2 linked regions of the Cricetulus griseus genome follow. The protein of the gene in region 1 purifies or fractionates together with the protein of each later gene. This does not show direct contact. Links are inferred from orthologs where the notes say so. Each region holds a gene or a part of one and is shown in the gene's direction. Other genes may lie near its edges.

Region 1 (4,561 bases):
TTGGATTTAAGTGCAGGCACTGAGCAAGAGAGACAGTCTTGGATGAAAGACAGTTCATCTGTAAGACATGAGTGCAAGCTGCTGAAAGCTAGGCTTACTTACTGTAAGAGGAGTTGTCGTCGTAACCCTGTGGCTCTCTAAATCCAGTTGCTCAAAGGACGTAATTGACAGCAACAGTTAAAGACTAAGTATAAACTGGGAGGTGGTGGCACATACCTTTAATCACAGCACTCAGGAGGCAGAGGCAGGCGGATCTCTGTGAGTTTGAGGCCAGCCTGGTCTACAAGAGCTAGTTCCAGGACATCCTCCAAAGCCTGTCTCGAACCCCCCCTTAAAAAAACAAAAACAAAAACAAAAAACCCAAAAAACAAGGTTTAAATTATTTTATATGTGAGGGGCTTTCAGACTGCCAAGTGAAGTATTAGAAGATGGGTGTATGCACAGCCCAAACCAAATCGAGTCCCTGACTGCCAAACTATTTTCTTTGCTTGTCTGCTTTAGCCACTTCCTACCCATCCTCAAATAGAAATTAAGTAAAAAATATATGAGCTTATTTGCTTTTCTTAATTCTGTAAATGAAACTTTATATATTACCTAGTCCCAATTTAAGGATGGGAGAGAAGTAATATAGTAAAACTCAGCGCTGTAAATCTTCTGGACTTTAGCAAACATACTTCATTTTGAGTTTTATTTTAGAGACAAGGTCTCACGTAGCTGGCCCCAAACTTGCTTAGTTGATAGTGACAAAAGGCTCATCCTCTCACCACCACCTCTCATCTAGCACACCCCACTACACAGCTTTGTTTTTAACGACCCTGTCTGTAGACTTTAGGAAAACACATATCTGCAGGCAGTTTTTTTTTTAAGATTTTATTTATTTATTATGTATACAACATTCTGCTTCCATGTATATCTGCACACCAGAAGAGGGTACCAGATCTCATAACGAATGGTTGTGAGCCACCATGTGGTTGCTGGAAATTGAATTCAGGACCTTTGGAAGAGCAGTCAGTGCTCTTAACCTCTGAGCCATCTCTCCAGCCCCCGAAGGCAGTTTTTTTTTTTTTTTTTTTTTAATCAGGTATGTTTAAGTTTCTTCCTATGAGCAGGGTAGCCCCAAGCCAGGCAGACACCGTAGACCGAGGGCCACAAGGCCTTGGGAAGTAGGCGGTGCTTTCCCCAAGCCAGGGACGGCAGGTAACCTGGAGAGAGAACTGCGGACAGGGTCAGGACGCAAAAATTAAGAGTTGCAAAAGACTCAACAGACAAAAAAAAATAACCCTAAGTCCTCCACGCGCCCCAGCAGCCCCTTTAAAAAGGCGCGGCACCGCGCGTGCGCCGGAATACACGTCACGACTCTATTTACATATAGCTCGCGGGCTTGAGAGCGGGGCCCGTGCACGCTTAACGGCTTTTGATTGGATGTCGCCTCTATCATCACCGAGGCGCAGTTGACAGACAGCTCTACTGCCAATTCACAGACCGTTTTGTTCGCAGAGGGCGGAGCCCGGCGACGCGGCCAGTGGCAGGTGGTTTTATTGGCGGCCACGGCGGCGCAGTCCCGGAGCGAGCTTTACACGGGAGCCAGTGCCGCAGGAGGCGCGAGGTGCGGTCCCGACGGGTAACGGCGTGGCGGGCGGCTGGTCAGGGGCCGGGGCCGGGGCGGCGGAGGTGGGGGTGGGTGGCGCGGGCGGGGCGACGCGCTATGGCGGCTAGCAGAGGCGGGCGGGGCCCCATCAGCCGTCCGGGTGGCGGCGGATGGCGGGCCCGTCCCTCCTCCGCGCCGCCCCGCCCCCGGCTGAAGGTCAGCGCGCTTTGTTCCCGCCGCCTGAGAGCGCACGCGAAGCCGCGCAGGCGGTTCCCTGAGGGGACAAGGCCTCCCCAGCGAGGTGGGCCTGGGTGCGCCTCGTTTTGAAACAGCGCTTGGGAAGGAAGGGGTCCACGGCGTTCGCGCGGTCTGGCCGCCGCCTCGCCCTTCCGGGCTTTGCATGGTCTCCGCACACCGCCCTGGTCCGACTCAACGAGCCTGCGGTGGAGGCGGAGCCAATTTAGTGACACACACACTGAGCCTTCCGACCCGACTGTGGGCCCCTCAAGGGTGCAGGGTCGCCAGCAGTACCCCTTCTTCCCAGGGGTATCCTTGGAGCAGTCGGCCTACGCTTCCTCCAGCTCTGCTTAGCTTTCTCGGAGGAATCCCTGTGGTAGTTTGCTGCTTGTACGCCGCTGTAACAGGCGTATGCAAATTCCCCAGCAAAAAGGCCCAAGTTGAAGTTCTTGGTCCTAAAAGTTGCATGCTTTTTAGTTACTGCCGCCTTCCTGTCATAGTAGCTGCCTCCTCTCGGTGACTAATCTCTGCTTACTACACACCAGGGCCTCCTTAAAGCTCCTGTCGTGTGTTTTAACTCCATTCACAATAATCTTGTGATATAGGTGCAACAGGCTGAGTATGCCTTAGCACGAAACGCCTGGTTTCAGAAGTTTATGGAATATGTAGGTTTAGCAGATTAGCGTTCCTAGTCTGGAAGTCCAAAATCTGGCATAAAACTCTAAAAGAAATGGGCTTTGGAGTGTCCTGAAATTTTAGCATAGGAATGTTCAGCCTGTACTGCAAATTAAAGCCCTGTTAAGTGTGATGGTTTGACTGTGATGGTCGCTTGAATTTAAACTCAAGTAGAATTAACCTGGCTCGGTTGCTATTGAAATAAACAGTGTGCAGATGAACAGTGAGATCCAAAGAAAAGAGTGGTAGGATTGGGATGTAGTCCAAAATGACAAAGGGATGGTTCACTTGTCGGGGGCTTTTGGCAGTTGCATCTTTTTTTGTTTGTTTGTTTGTTTTTGTTTTTTTCGAGACAGGGTTTCTCTGTATTGCTTTAGAGGTTGCCCTGGAACTTGCTCTGTAGACCAGGCTGGTCTCGAACTCACAGAGATCCTCCTGCCTTGCTTCCTGGGAGTGCTGGGATTAAAGGCTTGGGCCACCAACGCCCAGCCAGTTGCAGCATTTTAATGCCTTTGTCTAAAGTAGCTGCTGTCAAACGATGTTGGAGGCTTTTTTTTTTTTTCCCTCCTTGGAGACAGGGTTTCTTTGTAGCTTTTTGAAGCCTGTCTTGGCACCTGGCACTCACTCTGTAGACCTGGCTGGTCTGGAACTCACATAGATTTGTCTGCCTGGGCCTCCCAAGTACTGGGATTAAAGGCGTGGGCCACCACACCTGGCTAAGTTGACCAATATTATTGGTTCACAATGTCAAAACATTTAAACGTTTAAATTTTGATATGTTAGTGTTATTTTTTGTTTTCAAGACAGAGTTTTTCTTGTGTTACAGCCCTAGCTGTCCTGCAACTAGCTCTGTAGACCAGGCTGGTCTGGAAATCACACACATTCACCTGCTCTGACTCCCGGGTGCTGGGATTACAGGCATATGCCCCCACTGCCTGGCTGTATTATCTTTAAATCTTGAGCTGTTTTTCAAGTATGTATAATAACTGATTTTATTGTTTTTTGGATTATAACCTTGACCACCAAAATTCTGGAAAAGATGTATATATTCTGAGGTCTCAGAAAGTATGGCTATTATGGCTTGTGAGTTGGCTGTTTGGATTTCTGTAGTTGAGAAAATAGTTTACAAATTAGTATTTCTTACAGAGATGCAGTTCTTAGGGATGAAGTACTTCACGTCAGTCTGACTTTGTGCTTGAATCTTAAAATGTCCCAACTAAGGTAGGTGTGGTAGTACACATCTAAAGTCCCAGCTGCTCAGGACTGGAGAGATAGCTCAGAGGTTAAGAGCACTGGCTGCTCTTCCAGAGGTCCTGAGTTCAATTCCCAGCAACCATATGGTGGCTCACAACCATCCCTAATGAGATCTGGTGTGACTACAGAACACTGTATAAATAATAAATATATATTTTTTTGGTTTTCCGAAACAGCGTTTCTCTGTGACTTTGGAGACTGTCCTGGAACTAGCTCTTGTAGACCAGGCTGGTCCTGAACTCACAGAGATCCGCTTGCCTCTGCCTCCCGAGTGCTGGAATTCAAGATGTGTGCCACCACCTCCCAGCTAATAAATAAAATCTTAAAAAAAAAAAATCCCAGCTGCTCTGGGGCTCAGACTTCAAAGTCAGTCTTGGCAGCACTGCAAGATCCTGGCTCAGTTTTTTCCCCTCTTAGTTAAGTGAGAGCTAACTAAGAGCGAGTACTAACTCCCTGTTAACTGTCTTCATGCTGTGTAGTTTAAGGCCTGTGCAAAAGTTTGTGTTGTGCTTGTAAAAAAAAAAAAAAATTGCCAGAGTGCCTAAAATTTTTGTTTGGAAGAAAAAAAAAAAAGTCTGGGCAAGAGAGGGGCTGGATAGAGAGTGGTTTGAGTACCAGCACTCATAGGGTGGCTCCTAATGTTCTGTAACTCCAGTTCCAGGGATCCAATGCCCTCTTCTGGCCTCAGCAAGTGGTGCACAGACAAGCAGGGAAAACATCCATACACAAAGAGTAGTTTAAATCCCTGAAGGTCTAAGGCAGGTAGGTGAATGCTTTTACAGCTTGGATCTTGGCACAGGTCACCTG
Region 2 (4,592 bases), on another chromosome or scaffold:
TTAACAATAAACAGCCAAGAAAAATACTAGGTAGGTGATACGACCCAAGAGCATAAGTGAGGGTCCAAGAGTGAGTCTCCTAGTGGCACTTTACACCAGAGGTCTGAGGAAGGCCCCATACAGGTAGATCGGATCGAAAAAGAGAAGTCATGCCAGTGTTGCTGAGATCCATCTGTGTCATCTCACAGCTCACCTGTCTCCTCCCAAGTGCCTTTAGCCTCCTCTGCTTGGAAATACCCAGGGTCTTGGCTCACACCAATCATTTTTCCTGTCCCTCTACCCAGGAGTCTCTCTTGGGGTCCATCTCAAGGTGTGACCCTTGTCACTGTCTCTATAAAGACAAAGCCTCCACATCACTGCACTGGTTCCCACCTCATGCCCTGACCATAGAGCATTTTCGTGGAGCTGTGTCCTCCACCGCGTTGCGAAGGACTTAGTAACAAGCATCACGCATTAACTATTTCTACTTGTCTCCAAAGACCCGTGTTCAGATAGAAAACGTGGGACCCAACACATCCTGTTTGCACTAAAATCTTCCGAGATGGGCCAAGGCGTGGTGGCGCACGCATTAATCTCTACACGCGTGAGGCAGGCAGGTCGAGGCTAGCCTGGTCTACACAGTGAGCTCCAGGACAGCAAGAGCAAATAGTTAGGCCCTGTCTCAACATCCCCGACAAAATCTCCACAGGTGATCTATCAACCAATATCATCAGTTGGCGGAACCCTGACTATGCAGAAAATTAGGTTTTAGATGCCCAGGAGGTACCCTAGAAGGGCTCCAGTATGCCACGCCTGGAACCCAAAGTCCCACACACAGGTCTAATCCACTCACGGCAACTCTGTCCTTCAGGCCATTGAGGGAAACCGTGAGTGGCCACAGGCCGGCAAAAAACTCCTCCAGCACACACCAGGAAGTCACCTCTCCGAGACCGTCCCCATCAGGAGTTAAATCTACCGCGCGAGGTTGGACATTAAGCGAGCTGTTTGAGCACTGCACACAGGCGCGCACACACGCACGCAACTGCCTTTATTGGGAGCTGTCTCTCAGGAGAACAGCGGCCCGCGGCGCAACACTAGAGCCCCGGGATGTTCTCGGCTCTGCCGAGGGCAGGCCGAGGGCCGCGAGCTGGCCCCAGTGGGCTCTAGGCCCTCAACTTCCGGCGCTCTCCGGCTCCTCAGCGGGAACGCGCGGCGAGCACTTGAGGCCGCCGCGGAGTCCACGGTGGGGCGCAGCTTCCGCAGCGCGGGGGATGCTCGGGCCACCCACCACCCCCCACCCCCCCGGCCACGCGAGCCCGGAGCTCCAGGTAGCAGTCGAGCACTAGGAGGCGTCCGGGCCACGCCGCCATCCCCGAGCCCCTTCCACAAGCCGCGCCAAACGGGCGCGTTGCACCGCGCAGGCGCGGCGAAGGCGAGCCGCTAGGGCTCGCCGAGAAGACGCGCACACCAGCCAGTCAACGTCCGCCTTGCGTAGAGCTAGGCCCGCCCCCAGGGCGCTGCCGTCAGGCCCCGCCCCCGGCGGACCCGCCCCCACGCCGTAGCCCCGCCCCCACGCCGTCCTGGGTTGAAGGCTCGCGGTTGGCCAGGGGGACGGACGCGCGCTCTGGTTGGTGGAGGAGGGGTCACGAGGACGCCGTCGTCGCCTTTCCAGAGGCGATTACTGGGCAGGCTCAGTCTTTTGCCTCAGACGCTAGCTGTAGCTGGCAGTCGCTCGTACGTGCTCCAGAGTCCACCGTGCCCGTCGCTGCCGCCCAGCTCGCGTGGGTTCCCCGAGGCTCTCCCGAGCTGCGCCCTTCGCCGCACGCGCCGTCGTCGCAACCCGCCACCATGGTGAAACTCGCAAAGGTGAGAGGCCTCGCGCGCGCCGACGCGGACGGACGCCTGGGCCTGCTTTCTGAGGGGCGCGCGCGCGCGCGTCGCTCAGGGGAGGAGGGCCTGCGCGCAATCCCGGGCGCGTTCGAGGGCGCCATGCTGGGGAAAGTCTCGCGCGACTAGCGGGAGGTCTCGCGGTGTTTGGCCCCTGACTTGGTGGTGGGGGAGAGCCGAGGCGGGTCCCGGGAGGTGTGTGTGTGTGTGAGCGCGCGCGCGCGCGTGTGTGTGTGTGTGTGTAGGGCGGTGAGATCGGAGCCGCCGCGAGGGGAGAAGGGGCGACAGGCCCGCCGAGGGGAGATGGGACCCAACTCGTGGGCCGGCGCCGGCGTGGCCCCGCCTCCTGGCGCACGTGCTCCGGTGCGCGGCCCGCCACGTGGGTTTTGGCGCTCTGCGTGTGTTGCCCGTCTCGGGCTCGGGGAGTCGCGGGGTACCGGGGAGGGGGACAGCGGGACTGAGCTAGGTGGGTTCCCCGGCGATCCCCAGCGCCTGTCCGTGACGGGCAGGCCAGCACGTGGTGGACACCTGAGGGAGCGCGTGGTGGCCTGCGTGGTACCTCCACGTGGCCCGCCTCCAGAGTGGCGACGTCGGAAGTGGTTCTGTGAAAGACGTGCTCCTCTCCAGAAGGGGCTACCCAAATAGATACCCCTGCCCCGGCAGATGATTTAGAGTGAAATTCAAAGGGCAATGAATGACTAGTAGATTGTCTTCAGTTGTCTCTGGAAGGGAAAGACAAGTTATATAGGTGATTCTCAGGAAAGATTGCCACATATAATAATGCCAATGATGTCACCTGTGCTTAGGGCCTTTAACAATATAGACAGTGGGCATTAAGAAAGAAGATAATGGCGAAACGCAAAATGGCTTACAAATAGGGTATCGACATGATTTTGTGTGCACTTGTGTAGGCCGGCAAAACCCACGGCGATTCTAAGAAAATGGCTCCTCCTCCAAAAGAGGTGGAAGAAGATAGTGAAGACGAAGAAATGTCCGAAGATGAAGAAGATGACAGCAGTGGAGAAGAGGTATACAGCTAATAGGGCAGCGGTGCCCTCCCTTTAATTCCAGCAAGAGGGACGTAGAAGGCAGGCAGTTTTAGTGAGTTCAAAGCCAGCCTGGTCTACAGAGGGAGTTCGGGGACAGCCAAGGCTACACAAGAAACCCTGTCTCAAAAACCAAAAAGAAAAAAAAAGATGTAGAAATAGAATGTGTGTTAATAAAAGTATTCTAAAGCCGGGCGGTTGTGGTGCACGCCTTTGATTCCAGCATTCAGGAGGCAGAGGCAGGCGGATCTTTGTGAGTTCAAAGCCGCACATGGTCTACTTAATGAGTTCCAGGACAGCCTCCAAAGCTACAGAGAAACCCTGTCTCCAAAAACCAAAAAAAAAAATACAGTAGTATGATAACAATAGTTGAGTGACAAGTTCTTTATTGCTATTGAGTAGTTAAATAAGAGTATTACAGTCCACTTGAGAGGGATGTAAATTTCACTCAGGTTTCACATGCTGTATTGAATATTGATTGTAGGCTGTTATTTTTCCCTACATTTTTGGAAAACAGGGTTTAATCCAGTTTGATTTGTTTTCATTCAGATCATGGTCACGTGATTTCATGGTGTTTGGTGAGAAGGACATTACGACTAGAAATTCCCGGGTGTTTTTTTTTGTTTGTTTGTTTGTTTTTTGAATCAGGATCTCAACATGACCCTTGTGGTCTTAGAACTCAACATGTAGACCAGTCTGGCCAAAAATTCTCCTGAATAAAGGCATTAGTCATTGCATGAAGCTAGTTAAGAAACTTAGGGCTTTGATTTAGATGAGAATTGGAGTCAGGGTCTCAATAGTTCAGGAATCACTATATTTATTTTACTCCTATTCCCGTCATGCATGTTTTGTTTTTTAGTGCTGATCCCTATCACTAAAGTAAGCTTTAGCCTATTATATAAGCTTTTATAGAGCAAGTCAGTTTTTAAAATACATCAGATATGGATTGAAGGCTGCTACTTACCAGTTTGCTGAATCTGGTACTTATTAGCACTCCTACTTGTTGGTTCATTTAAAGACATGGTTAATTAATTTCAGGAGGCAGAAGTAGGGATAGTCTTGGAAATCAGGTAAGCTGGGGGTATGTAATCATTATGCTCAGATTTCTTGTTTAGAAGAGCTATATTAGTAATAAGCAAAATTTGGGTTTTGGTGGAACATTTTTCAATGAAAATAAAATGCATACTTGTTATAACTCTGCTTAAGGCTGATGTGTAGGGGTGGAGTTGGAGACCAGTTTCATTTATGAGTGTTTCTTAAACTTGGGTATTTGTGTGATAAGCACCTGCAGTTGTAAGCCATGTATTCTGATTCCAGGGTTTAGGATTTAGTGTGTTGGAGTTAGGGTTAGAGTGTTTATCTGTATTTGTATGAGTGTACTACTAAGCATGCCTGGTGCACTTAGGCTAGAAGAAAACTCTTAGGTTCCCTGGAACTATAGTTAGAGCCATCATGTGGATGCTGAGAACTGACCGTTGGTCCTCTGCTAGAGTAACAAGGGCTCTTAACTGCTGAACCGTCTCTCTAGCCCTTTCACCCCAGGGTTTAACATATACCTAATTCCAGTGTTGAGCTCAAAGTTAGTATCAGTATGTTAATAACATTGGATATACGGAAAGTGCTTATTATTTGTTTTACTTTTAAGGTTGTCATCCCTCAGAAAAAAGGAAAGAAGGCTAC

Evidence for each region.
Region 2: the proteins of Nap1l4 (region 1) and Ncl fractionate together in Homo sapiens (co-fractionation; 3 studies listed by BioGRID). This does not show direct contact. The link is inferred for Cricetulus griseus from reciprocal best matches to the Homo sapiens genes NAP1L4 and NCL.

Annotation. Positions count from the first base shown.
Region 1 is NC_048596.1:57,824,935-57,829,495, forward strand, and holds the start of Nap1l4 (nucleosome assembly protein 1-like 4), read left to right. Parts: upstream 1-1,483; 5' UTR 1,484-1,606; intron 1,607-4,495; exon of another isoform or gene 4,496-4,516; intron 4,517-4,561. UniProt on the Homo sapiens protein: Acts as a histone chaperone in nucleosome assembly.
Region 2 is NC_048595.1:438,027,283-438,031,874, reverse strand, and holds the start of Ncl (nucleolin), read left to right. Parts: upstream 1-1,665; 5' UTR 1,666-1,827; coding exon 1,828-1,845; intron 1,846-2,777; coding exon 2,778-2,894; intron 2,895-4,557; coding exon 4,558-4,592. UniProt on the Homo sapiens protein: Nucleolin is the major nucleolar protein of growing eukaryotic cells. It is found associated with intranucleolar chromatin and pre-ribosomal particles. It induces chromatin decondensation by binding to histone H1.